3 linked regions of the Oryza sativa Japonica Group genome follow. The main gene of each other region encodes a partner of the protein of the gene in region 2 in a complex. Links are inferred from orthologs where the notes say so. Each region holds a gene or a part of one and is shown on either strand. Other genes may lie near its edges.

The links. The genes of interacting proteins can lie anywhere in the genome.
Region 1: small ribosomal subunit protein cS23 (region 2) and small ribosomal subunit protein uS13c share a complex: the UniProt entries of both Arabidopsis thaliana proteins name them as parts of the 30S ribosomal subunit. The link is inferred for Oryza sativa Japonica Group from reciprocal best matches to the Arabidopsis thaliana genes PSRP3/1 and EMB3137.
Region 3: small ribosomal subunit protein cS23 (region 2) and rps8 share a complex: the UniProt entries of both Arabidopsis thaliana proteins name them as parts of the 30S ribosomal subunit. The link is inferred for Oryza sativa Japonica Group from reciprocal best matches to the Arabidopsis thaliana genes PSRP3/1 and rps8.

What each region holds. Positions count from the first base shown.
Region 1 is NC_089037.1:29,173,487-29,177,480, reverse strand, and holds small ribosomal subunit protein uS13c, read right to left. Parts: upstream 2,432-3,994; 5' UTR 2,338-2,431; coding exon 2,239-2,337; intron 1,545-2,238; coding exon 1,305-1,544; intron 922-1,304; coding exon 745-921; 3' UTR 530-744; downstream 1-529. Other genes in the region: uncharacterized membrane protein At4g09580, read right to left, coding at 3,748-3,879. UniProt on the Arabidopsis thaliana protein: Located at the top of the head of the 30S subunit, it contacts several helices of the 16S rRNA.
Region 2 is NC_089038.1:23,520,221-23,523,703, reverse strand, and holds small ribosomal subunit protein cS23, read right to left. Parts: upstream 2,127-3,483; 5' UTR 2,075-2,126; coding exon 1,805-2,074; intron 961-1,804; coding exon 679-960; 3' UTR 517-678; downstream 1-516. Other genes in the region: transcription factor MYB106, read right to left, coding at 3,094-3,483. UniProt on the Arabidopsis thaliana protein: Component of the chloroplast ribosome (chloro-ribosome), a dedicated translation machinery responsible for the synthesis of chloroplast genome-encoded proteins, including proteins of the transcription and translation machinery and components of the photosynthetic apparatus.
Region 3 is NC_001320.1:76,169-78,460, forward strand, and holds rps8 (ribosomal protein S8), read right to left. Parts: upstream 941-2,292; coding exon 530-940; downstream 1-529. Other genes in the region: infA (translation initiation factor 1), read right to left, coding at 70-393; rpl14 (ribosomal protein L14), read right to left, coding at 1,080-1,451; rpl16 (ribosomal protein L16), read right to left, coding at 1,561-1,962. UniProt on the Arabidopsis thaliana protein: One of the primary rRNA binding proteins, it binds directly to 16S rRNA central domain where it helps coordinate assembly of the platform of the 30S subunit.

The sequences.
Region 1 (3,994 bases), on a different chromosome or scaffold from region 2:
ACAAAATTTGGTATGGTTGATTTGGACAACAAAGTGAACAAGCCAAGATTGAGCCGAGCAGCTCTCTCCAGAAAGTTCCATGTTCCAACCACACGCATGGTAATCATGGTAATTGGTAACTCAAGTTTAAATCATCTCTTCACAAAAAACCAAAATCTCGACTGGTGTCCGCTGCGGGAAATTTAACTATTTGCCACTCTTGTGACATGGCAATTAACGATTTGCCACACCCTGCCAATAACATGTGGGCCCTCATGTGTCTATGACATGTGGGTCTAGTAGCAAATCGTTAAGCACCATTCGTAAGAGTGGCAAATAGTTAAAAGCCCCGTCTGCTGCTATCAGCAAGGCAGGTTCCTAATATTATTATTCAGCTACACTGATACTCCTCTTTCAGCTTGTAAAGTTAACAAGGCATTAGATCTGACGGTGGCATGTGGAACAAATGGACAGAAAACTGGCGATACGTTAATTCATCAGGAACAGGTCGGTCAAGCATAGATATGACAACAGAAGAGAGACAGCAAGATGATGGACTGAAAAACATAGTATAACCTTAATTTAGCATCAGTTCATGTAAGACAGGTGACAAATATAACTTTTTCAGTGACAGATCACAACCCGTGATTCATCTATGACGACACCAACATAAAATCTCATAATACCAGACAAGAGCGTGGTCAAGCAGAACACAAAAAATAAACAAGAGGCAAAGAACCAAAGGTAAATACATGGCAATGTGTCTTATTCCTCCTGGGAAGCAGGCGACTTCTTCTTCGCAACAGAAGCCCTCCTTCCCTTCAGCGTCCTGCAATTGTTCTTCGTCCTCTGTCCACGAACTGGCAGCCCTAGCTTGTGGCGGATGCCCCTGTAACACCTAATCTCCTTCAACCTCTCAATCGCCACACGATTAAACCGTTTCTGTAAAGCATGGCAAACACATCAGAACTCTATTTTAGCAACACAACATAAATCCACGATGACAGAAATGGGAAAAGAACTACAGAGTCTTTTTTTTTTCAGAACGATCAGTTTAAGGGTACCAAATTTCAAGGAATCTTCAACATGCTACTCCCTCCGTTTCACAATGTAAGTCATTCTAACATTTACCACATTCATATTGATGCTAATGAATCTAGACATATATATCTATCTAGATTTATTAGTATCAATATGAATGTGGGAAATGCTAGAATGACTTATATTGTGAAACGGAGGAAGTACCAAAGTAGGGTAACCATACTAATCACCAAAATTACAGAAAAAAAGTTAAGTGATGAATTAGCAAGGGATAGGGCCATTACAAGGTCTCCCTCAATCATGTACTTGGTAACCTCCTTACGGAGAGTGATGACTTCCTCCTCGGAGAGGTCCTTTGTGACCTTGTTGTCAAAATTGAGGTCCAAGAGGATCTGACGGGAGCGTGACCGCCCAATGCCATGGATGTACTGCAGTGAGTACTCTACCCTCTTGTGGTTCGGGATCTCCACTCCACCAATACGAATGCACTCGATCCGCAGGCCACCATGACCAATACCCCCTTTCTGTCCAGTACCCAATAATAAAAAAAAAAGAATCAAAACCACAACACAGTTAAAAGCACAGGCCTACAAATGACTGGGCAAGTAAAGATAATGGGGTGGGGAAATTTTTTCTTTAAACTTGGTCAAACCTAAAGAACTTTGACTACTTATAGTATGAAACTGAGGGAGTACTAACAAGGAATTACGATTCTTTTTACATCCTATATGCATAATTAACCTTCTTTGCTATTCCTAGTCCCTACATGAATTACATATACACTCTGCTGTCCAAAGAAATACTACTTCGTAACACTATCCATTCTTCCAACATGATATGTGCTAGGGGCAGAGATTCAAACTCATAAGCATACAAGCATATAAATACTAGTTCCTCACAGATGCCAATAATTCTAAAATTGCACAGGAACACTGTTCTTCCAACATCACGGAAAAAAAACTACTGAATTGCACATACTCAAAATTAGTACTGTAGTACACAAAGCACGGCCACTAGCCTCCCCAACCTCCAAGATGGCAAAGATAACAAAACGATCCCAGGGGTTGAGTTGCAATAAGTGATACGGATGTACGATGCGTCATGCGTGAATCACATATCAATCGCACAGAACCAAGGAACAGGACGAGCGAGCAAATGGCCGAACAAGAAGTGGGCGCGGAGGGGGGAGGCGGGGGGAGGGGTGGCTTTGCTTCTCACCTTGGGAACGGGGAAGGAGACGGAGGAGCTGCGGCCTCGGGCGGAGAGGGGCAGGGAGGAGGTGGCGATGGGGACGGAGACCATCGAGAGGGTCGCCATTTCTGCGCTCCCGACGAGGGACGGAGGTGCGTGCGCTTCTCTCCCGGAGCTCTCGGTGCTGTCTCGGATAGAACCCAACGGGAAGGAAGCCGATAAGGTAGCCGCACCTGTAGGCTACCACTGTATCGGCGACTTCTTGGGTTGGGCCTTGCAGGGTACGGCCCAAACAGGTCAAGTCGCTAGTTTACTCCTTCTGTTAAAAAAAGAAAAAGAAAAAAGAACAAGCTAGGAGTACTCCATATCTAGATAACGCCGTAGTTGCAATTTTTTTCTTCAAACTTCCAACTTTTACATCACATCAAAACTTTCCTACACACATAAACTTCCAACTTTTCTGTCACATCGTTCTAATTTCAATCAAGCTTCCAATTTTAGCGTGAACTAAACACACCCTAAGTTAGTACTAGGCTATTAAGTTAGTACTAGGCTGTGTTCTTTTCCCACTTTTTCCAACACATCTCCCTTGTGTTCTGCATGCACGCTTTTCAAACGGTTAAACGATGTGTTTTTTTAAAGATTTCTACACAAAAGTTGCTTTTAAAAAATCATTTTTCAAAAACAATTAATAAATACTTAATTAATCATAAGAAAATGCTTCGCTCCGTTTTACGTGCGCGAGAGGTGAGTTCCTCCCGAACACAGTCTTAAGTTATGTTCCTGACTTTCTTTTTTTTTAAAGCTTTTTTAAGTTATGTTCCTGACTTTCTTTTTTTTAAGCTTTTTTTTAAGATGGAGGGAGTAAACACGAAAGAAAATATTCTCCTCTCTCTAGGAAAAAAAGAAGAATATGTTGTAGCCTTTAGGATCAGCTATGCTGCATAAGCTTCTTCTGAATATAAATTTCTGGGGTTTTTGTGGGAGGATAAAGAACTGCATAAGCTTCCTCTGAATATAAATTTCTGGGGTTTTTGTGGGAGGATAAAGAATTTCAGCACGTTTATAATCCTAGATGTAACAGTTTAGGTACTACTAAATGTAAGTTTAATTCGTATTGCATTTTGTATTAGGATAATCTGTGGGGAACGTTCTGAATATCATCTTGCAGAAATGTCTCAAGTGAAAATAAAATAAATGGAGATAATAGGACAATTGGTGGCAAATAACACATCATTTCAAAACGACGGATAAGGTTGCCCATCCAATTGGGAGCAGTAAGATTTACTGTAAAACCACAACAACCAGATAGTTCCACCGCATCGTTAATTGGGACGTGGGGATTTATAAGAACATTGGGGCAACAGATGCAACAGCTTAGCGTCATCTATTATTGAGGAAAACATTCATCATGTTACTACTACATCTCTACAGCTAAATTGAATAGGTATACAATATCAACAAAGAAAGGGAAAAAAAACTAATACACTTCTGGAGTGCTCTACTAATACACTGTTTAGATGCTTTTTAGTGGCATCATTCGTATATTCTCTTCCTTTTCAGAATCGTTGGAGCAACAGCAACAGTTCCAATGAGGAATAGAATTACTAGTGTTTTTGAGTCATACAGTTCCCTAAGTGATCTTAGATCGCCTAGTGCCCTACCAGCCTGCAAGACAGCAGTAAGAATGGTGATGAGTAGATAAAATGGTATCACTGGAAACAGATAATACAATCAGATCAACCACCAAACCCGTCCACAACTAAGTAAATCCTGAAGTCAA
Region 2 (3,483 bases):
AGGTCCAACTCCAACCCAACGCCTCCATGTGCCTTGCCCCTCCTCCCCCCTTGGCCGAGATGATGATAAGCTGCTACGCCTTGCTCAGTTGCTCCCATGCCTTTTGAACGCTTTTGAGACCGTGACCAAGCTGGCGCGGCGCTGCATGCGGCGTGAGAACGAGCGTCGCAGCACGACGCGCGGGCACCACGACGACTCCACGAGTCCACGAGCGTTTTCACGCTCGTTTCGCACAGGCTCACGCGTTGCCGCAGCCCGTTTTGCAGAGGCCTACGCGTGGACGGCCTAGGCTCGTGGTGCGCGGAGCGGGCCGGGCTTTTTCAGGGCATCACCGGTGTTAGTTAATCGCAGTAGAAGGGGTATATGCCCCCGTGACCCCAAATCTCTTCGAAAGAAAAGAAATTCCCCTTTTTCTTCAAGTTCAAAATATCGAGTTACATTTATTTAACTGGATCATGGTATAGTAGTATCAAGAGGTATTAGCAATCTTCCCTGCGGATGATGGAGCCCAAATCGTTTACCTTACAGAGATCAATCACAATTCATTTCCATAAACAAAACCGTATCCGAAAACAGTTTGAATCGATCTACAGGGTCATGTAACAACAAAGATCCGTGTAACCAAAGCAAGAAAAAAAGAAACAAGGTTCTCAAGGATGGGAGAATTGAGATATCCTCTTAGGTTGACAAGCTGCCACCACCCTGTTGCCAAAGGTTGATGATATCAGTGGCCTGATTCAGAAGGATGATCATCTGTTTCTGAGAGATCCACTCTTTCTCCTCCAGCTTTGCTCTTAGCTCCTCCCAGGCATCTTTCCGTGGCCAGAAGTAGTATGGGCTTAACGGAATGCTGCCATAGCCGGGAACCAACTGGTCGAGGGCTATGCCAATGTTCTTCTCCATCCATATGAACTTCAGAACAAGCATTGGATCCTGCCTTTCAGGCACCTTAACCTTGTACTGCGATACAAAATCAATTCGTTTCAAATCTCATAATGCTAATACTGATTTTGCATATCTGAGTAAAATAAATTGTGCAGTTTTAACACAGCTCAAGTCGTAGTAAAATAAATTGCAACAACTACTGTACGTGTTCCATTGACAACTTCATTTCTCTACAAAAGGCCCCATTTTTCAACTGTGAGGGTAACTCCCATATAATCAAAACTAATCCACTTTTAGTGTACATCTCTGAAATCTGATATAGTGATGAAAAAGGAACTTATTGTGCCTGTTAATGTTGTTACATAATCACGTAAATAGCTGAATGAAAAAAAACTCCTTTCATGACCAAAACCTGTCAATGCTACAGTTTGTTCAATAGTTCAGTTCTTGCTTACACATACAACCAAAAATGGCACACGCTCAAGTTTGTGGACATGCTTTCATGTGCTCTTCGCCTCTTCATCACTAGCATACACCTTTTATCTGCAGAAGTGCAAAACTGCACCAAAAGGACAGCCCGAGTGCCCAAACATGCTCAACTAGACTAGAACTTCTCTAATTTACTCTACTTGTGACTTCTCTTAAGCTTTCAGCTGTGCATTGTGTCTAAAGATTTACTCTACTCGTGAATTCACCCAAATGTACACCTCGTACTGTATTTCACCTATGAGCTCAAGTAATCAGTTCGGTAACCAAAATTGATTCAAGAAAAATCAAATTCATGCGAAACCAAATGTGATTGAACTCCATCCTCTTCAAAAAACAACACTTCCTTCTGAAATTGAGCTCGACTCGGTAAAAAAAAAAACCCCGTAATTTCAGTCACTGGCATGGTTTGGAGCGGCTACTAGCCCATTACCTCCTGCGCTTCCTCGCCGGCGCTCGCATCCCCACCTCCGACTTGCTTCTCCTCTTCTCCCTCCTCCGCTTCGACGGCGCCAGAAGCGGCGGCGGCGGCGAGGCCACGGAGCGAGCGAAGGGGAAGCCTCCTGCTGCCGAGGTGGACGAGGCGTGGAGTGGAGGAGGAGGAGGTGGTGCAGGGGGAGGCGGCGGAAAGCTTGGGCCGGGAGATGCGGGCGCGCGAGGCGAGGGCCGGCGTGGCGGCGGGGTGGACGGACATCGCCAGCATCGTGTCCGAGTCCGAGGCTCCTGTGCGGATAAGAGGAGGAAGACGATGGTGCGGGGCTGCCTCCTCTTATCTTTACCCTTAATAATCCCCTTCTCGTCAGCTATTAGATGTGGGCTAGAAAGTTATGGTAAAGCCCAATATGGCCCAGCACAAAACGGCCCGGCCCAGATCCAATCTAAGTAAAAAGCTCACAGCTCAATCGTCTCGGTTATTCGAGAATAAACGAAATGGCATATTTGTAAATAAAAAATAATTTGTGAATAAATCTTTTATATATATATTTTTAACGATCTAAAAGCAAAGACTGAAAAATAAACCTTCGATAAAAAAAATAAAATCAACCCCAAATTTAAAGGTAAAAATTTAAATTTTGACTGATAAACATAAGTATAAGCGAAAAGATGAGGCCGTCCGTTTGCCTTCAGCAGGGTTTGCAAAACCGTCTGTAACCGTGCGATTACCGCGCTTACCGTGGGGTACGGTAAAAGGGAAACCGCGGTAACCCCCTTAAATTCAAATAAATTTAAAAAATAATTTTAAATTTTGATAAATTTTACACGGTTACCGTGTGGTAACCCCGGTCCGGTGGTTTGGGAAACCCTGGCCTTCAGTAGTGCTAGTGCCCAGTTGCCAACCGCTTGGGCGTAGTAAAAACTGATAGTGGAATGAAATGAACCGGGTACAAAGTACTGAAATGATCGTAAGTTTTGAAAAAAAACAAGCAGGAGTAGTAACTTTGCAAGTAAGGATGCTACATTCTCTGATAGTAGTTTCAGTGTTTTACACATTCTATAAGAACACCGAACAAAACAAGCATCGAATTTCAAATGTCGATACAGCCTTGAACAGTTGAAGTTCTTGCCCACAAGTTTAATCGAAAGCATTGTCAGGTTAACCCAAGAACGTGATTAATAATTACTAACATTAATATTAGTCCCATCTTATTCGACAATCATTGCTAAACTATTTACTGTGTCATGAGATCGAATCAAGTTTGATGCCGGCGAGGTTTTCTCCGCTCAGAAGTCCGGCGCCGGCGAGTACGCGTGGGAGGCGGGCACAACCACGGCCGTCGACATAGGTGCCGACGAGGAGTTCACCAGGTTCAGTATGCTGTTCCAGTAGTTCTTCTCCTCCTCGGTCTCCTGGAACTCGCCGTCGGCTTCCGCGTCTCTCCCCGCCGGCCTCGGGATCTGGTTCAAGGAGCCTTCGAGGAGTAGGCCCGTGAACCCCGCTCCGGCGCCGGGGAAGCCCACGTCGGCGGCGTCGACGTCGCCCCAGTGCTGGTCCTTGCACGCCTCGTCGTACGCCTGCATGGGCTGCATGGCGGCGCGCGCGGCCGCCGCGGCGGCGGCGCCGTGCGCCTCCAGCACGGTGGCGAGCACCGCGCTCTCCGAGAAGCTCAGCGT
Region 3 (2,292 bases), on a different chromosome or scaffold from region 2:
AAAAAATAAGTCTCTTTGTTTGAATTTTAGAACTTTGAATTTTTTACCCTAGAAAAAAAAAAGAAAAACCTAACCCTTTGAATCTTTGGTATCCTTCAAATCTTCGGTATCCTTCGAGTCTTCGGTACGCTTCGAATCCTTATGGGGAAGTCTATAAATTATACGCCCCTTGCTTGAATCATAACGACTTACTTCAATTTTGACCCTATCCCCCATCAGTATTCGTATAGAACTAGACCGGATCTTTCCTGAAATATAGCCCAGGATGATGGTGTCATTCTCTAGGCGAACGCGGAACATTCCGTTGGGTAGGGCTTCCATAACTAAACCCTCGAAAGTAATTTTTGCTTCTCTCGGGTTTTTTTTTTCTCTCCTATTTTTCTTTTCTGTCATATTTTTTTTTCTCCTATTTTTCTTTTTTTATTTTCAAATAAAAAAACGTTGTATTTTTGTTTGAAAAATAGGAAGTTCAAGATAGAATTTGGGTACTATAACTATAGGTGGGGCGATTACCGCTATAGGCGGGCGATTACCATATATAACATAAGACTTCTCCCCCAATTCTGTTTAGTCGAGCTTCTCGATCTGTCATTATACCTCGAGAAGTAGAAAGAATAGCAATTCCCATTCCGCCCAAAACCTTAGGAATTCCTTGATAGTTGGCATAAATTCGTAAGCCAGGTCGGCTGATACGCTTTAAAAAGGTTCTAGTTCTATATATTCCCTTTCTAGTCTTTCTCTTTTGATGTCGCAAAGTTGAAACCAAGAAATATCTGTTACTTTCCTGATGTTTCCGAACACTTTCAATAAAACCCTCTCGTAGAAGTATTTTAACAATGTTTTCGGTAATATTTGTAGATACTACCCGAACAGTTCCTTTTTTATTCATGTCCGCGTTTCTTATAGAGGTTAGTAAATCAGCAATAGTGTCCTTGCCCATAAGACTCTAATTCTAGGTTCCTCCTAATTTTTCTATAATCAACATGTTCTCTTTTTTCTTTTCGTTTTGGATTCTAAAGCATATACGTGAAACACAATCTACTAATTTTTTATTTGATCTATATCTTGTCTACTAGTATTTATAATACTTCAGGAGCTAATGAAACTATTTTAGTAAAATTCAATTCTCTCAATTCCTCGGCGATCGCGCCAAAAACGCGAGTTCCTTTTGGATTTCCTTTTTGATCAATGATAACCGCTGCATTGTCGTCATAGCGTATTATTATACCGTCTTCGCATTTGAACTCTTTACATGTACGTACAATTACAGCTCGAATTACTTCGGATCTTTCTAGAGGCATTTGGGGCACTGCGTCTTTGATTACAGCAACAATAACATCACCAATACGAGCATATCGCTGATTACTAGCAGCTCCTATGACTCGAATACACATCAATTTTCGAGCTCCACTGTTATCTGCTACATTTAAAAGGGTCTGAGGTTGAATCATATTATTTTGATTTCAATTTGTTATTTCAATGCAAAAGGATGAAAGAAATATTGTCTTTCCAGAAAGAAGAACCTGGTTTTTTATTTTCAATACTACTTTTTTTGGGGGGTTATATTTCTAACCGAAGAAATTGACTTCGTATGGGCATTTTGCTGGCAGCTATGGAAATAGCTCGTCTAGCTACAGTTTCGGATACTCCGCCCATTTCATAAAGTATTCGACCTGGTTTAACAACGGCTACCCAATATTCGGGGGATCCCTTTCCCGAACCCATACGTGTTTCGGTCGGTCTTATTGTAACCGGTTTGTCGGGAAATATACGTACCCAGATTTTTCCACCACGACGTGCATATCGTGTCATTGCTCTTCGTCCTGCTTCTATCTGCCTCGCCGTAATCCAAGTGGGTTCAAGTGCTTGAAGAGCATATCTACCAAAACAAATACAATTGCCTCGGTAGGATTTTCCCTTCATTCTTCCTCTATGTTGTTTACGAAATCTGGTTCTTTTGGGGTTATAGTCGATGGTTCTCTCTTAGTTCCATCTCTACTGCAAAACTGGACATGAGAGTTTCTTCTCATCCAGCTCCTCGCGAATCAAATGAGAAAGTGTGCCAAATTTCTCTAATTCCACAATATTCTAAAATATTACGGATAGATACACATTAATAGGAAAGGTTAGGGTTTTTAATATTGAATTTATTAAAATACTAAAATATATAGTCAAGAAAGAGGATCTAGAATATATCTAGATGTGTATGTTTATTTATCTATATTCTATATTTAATGTAATTCTTTTTTTTTTTTTTTTTAATCTCCTTTTTTTATTTTACTCTTATTGAAT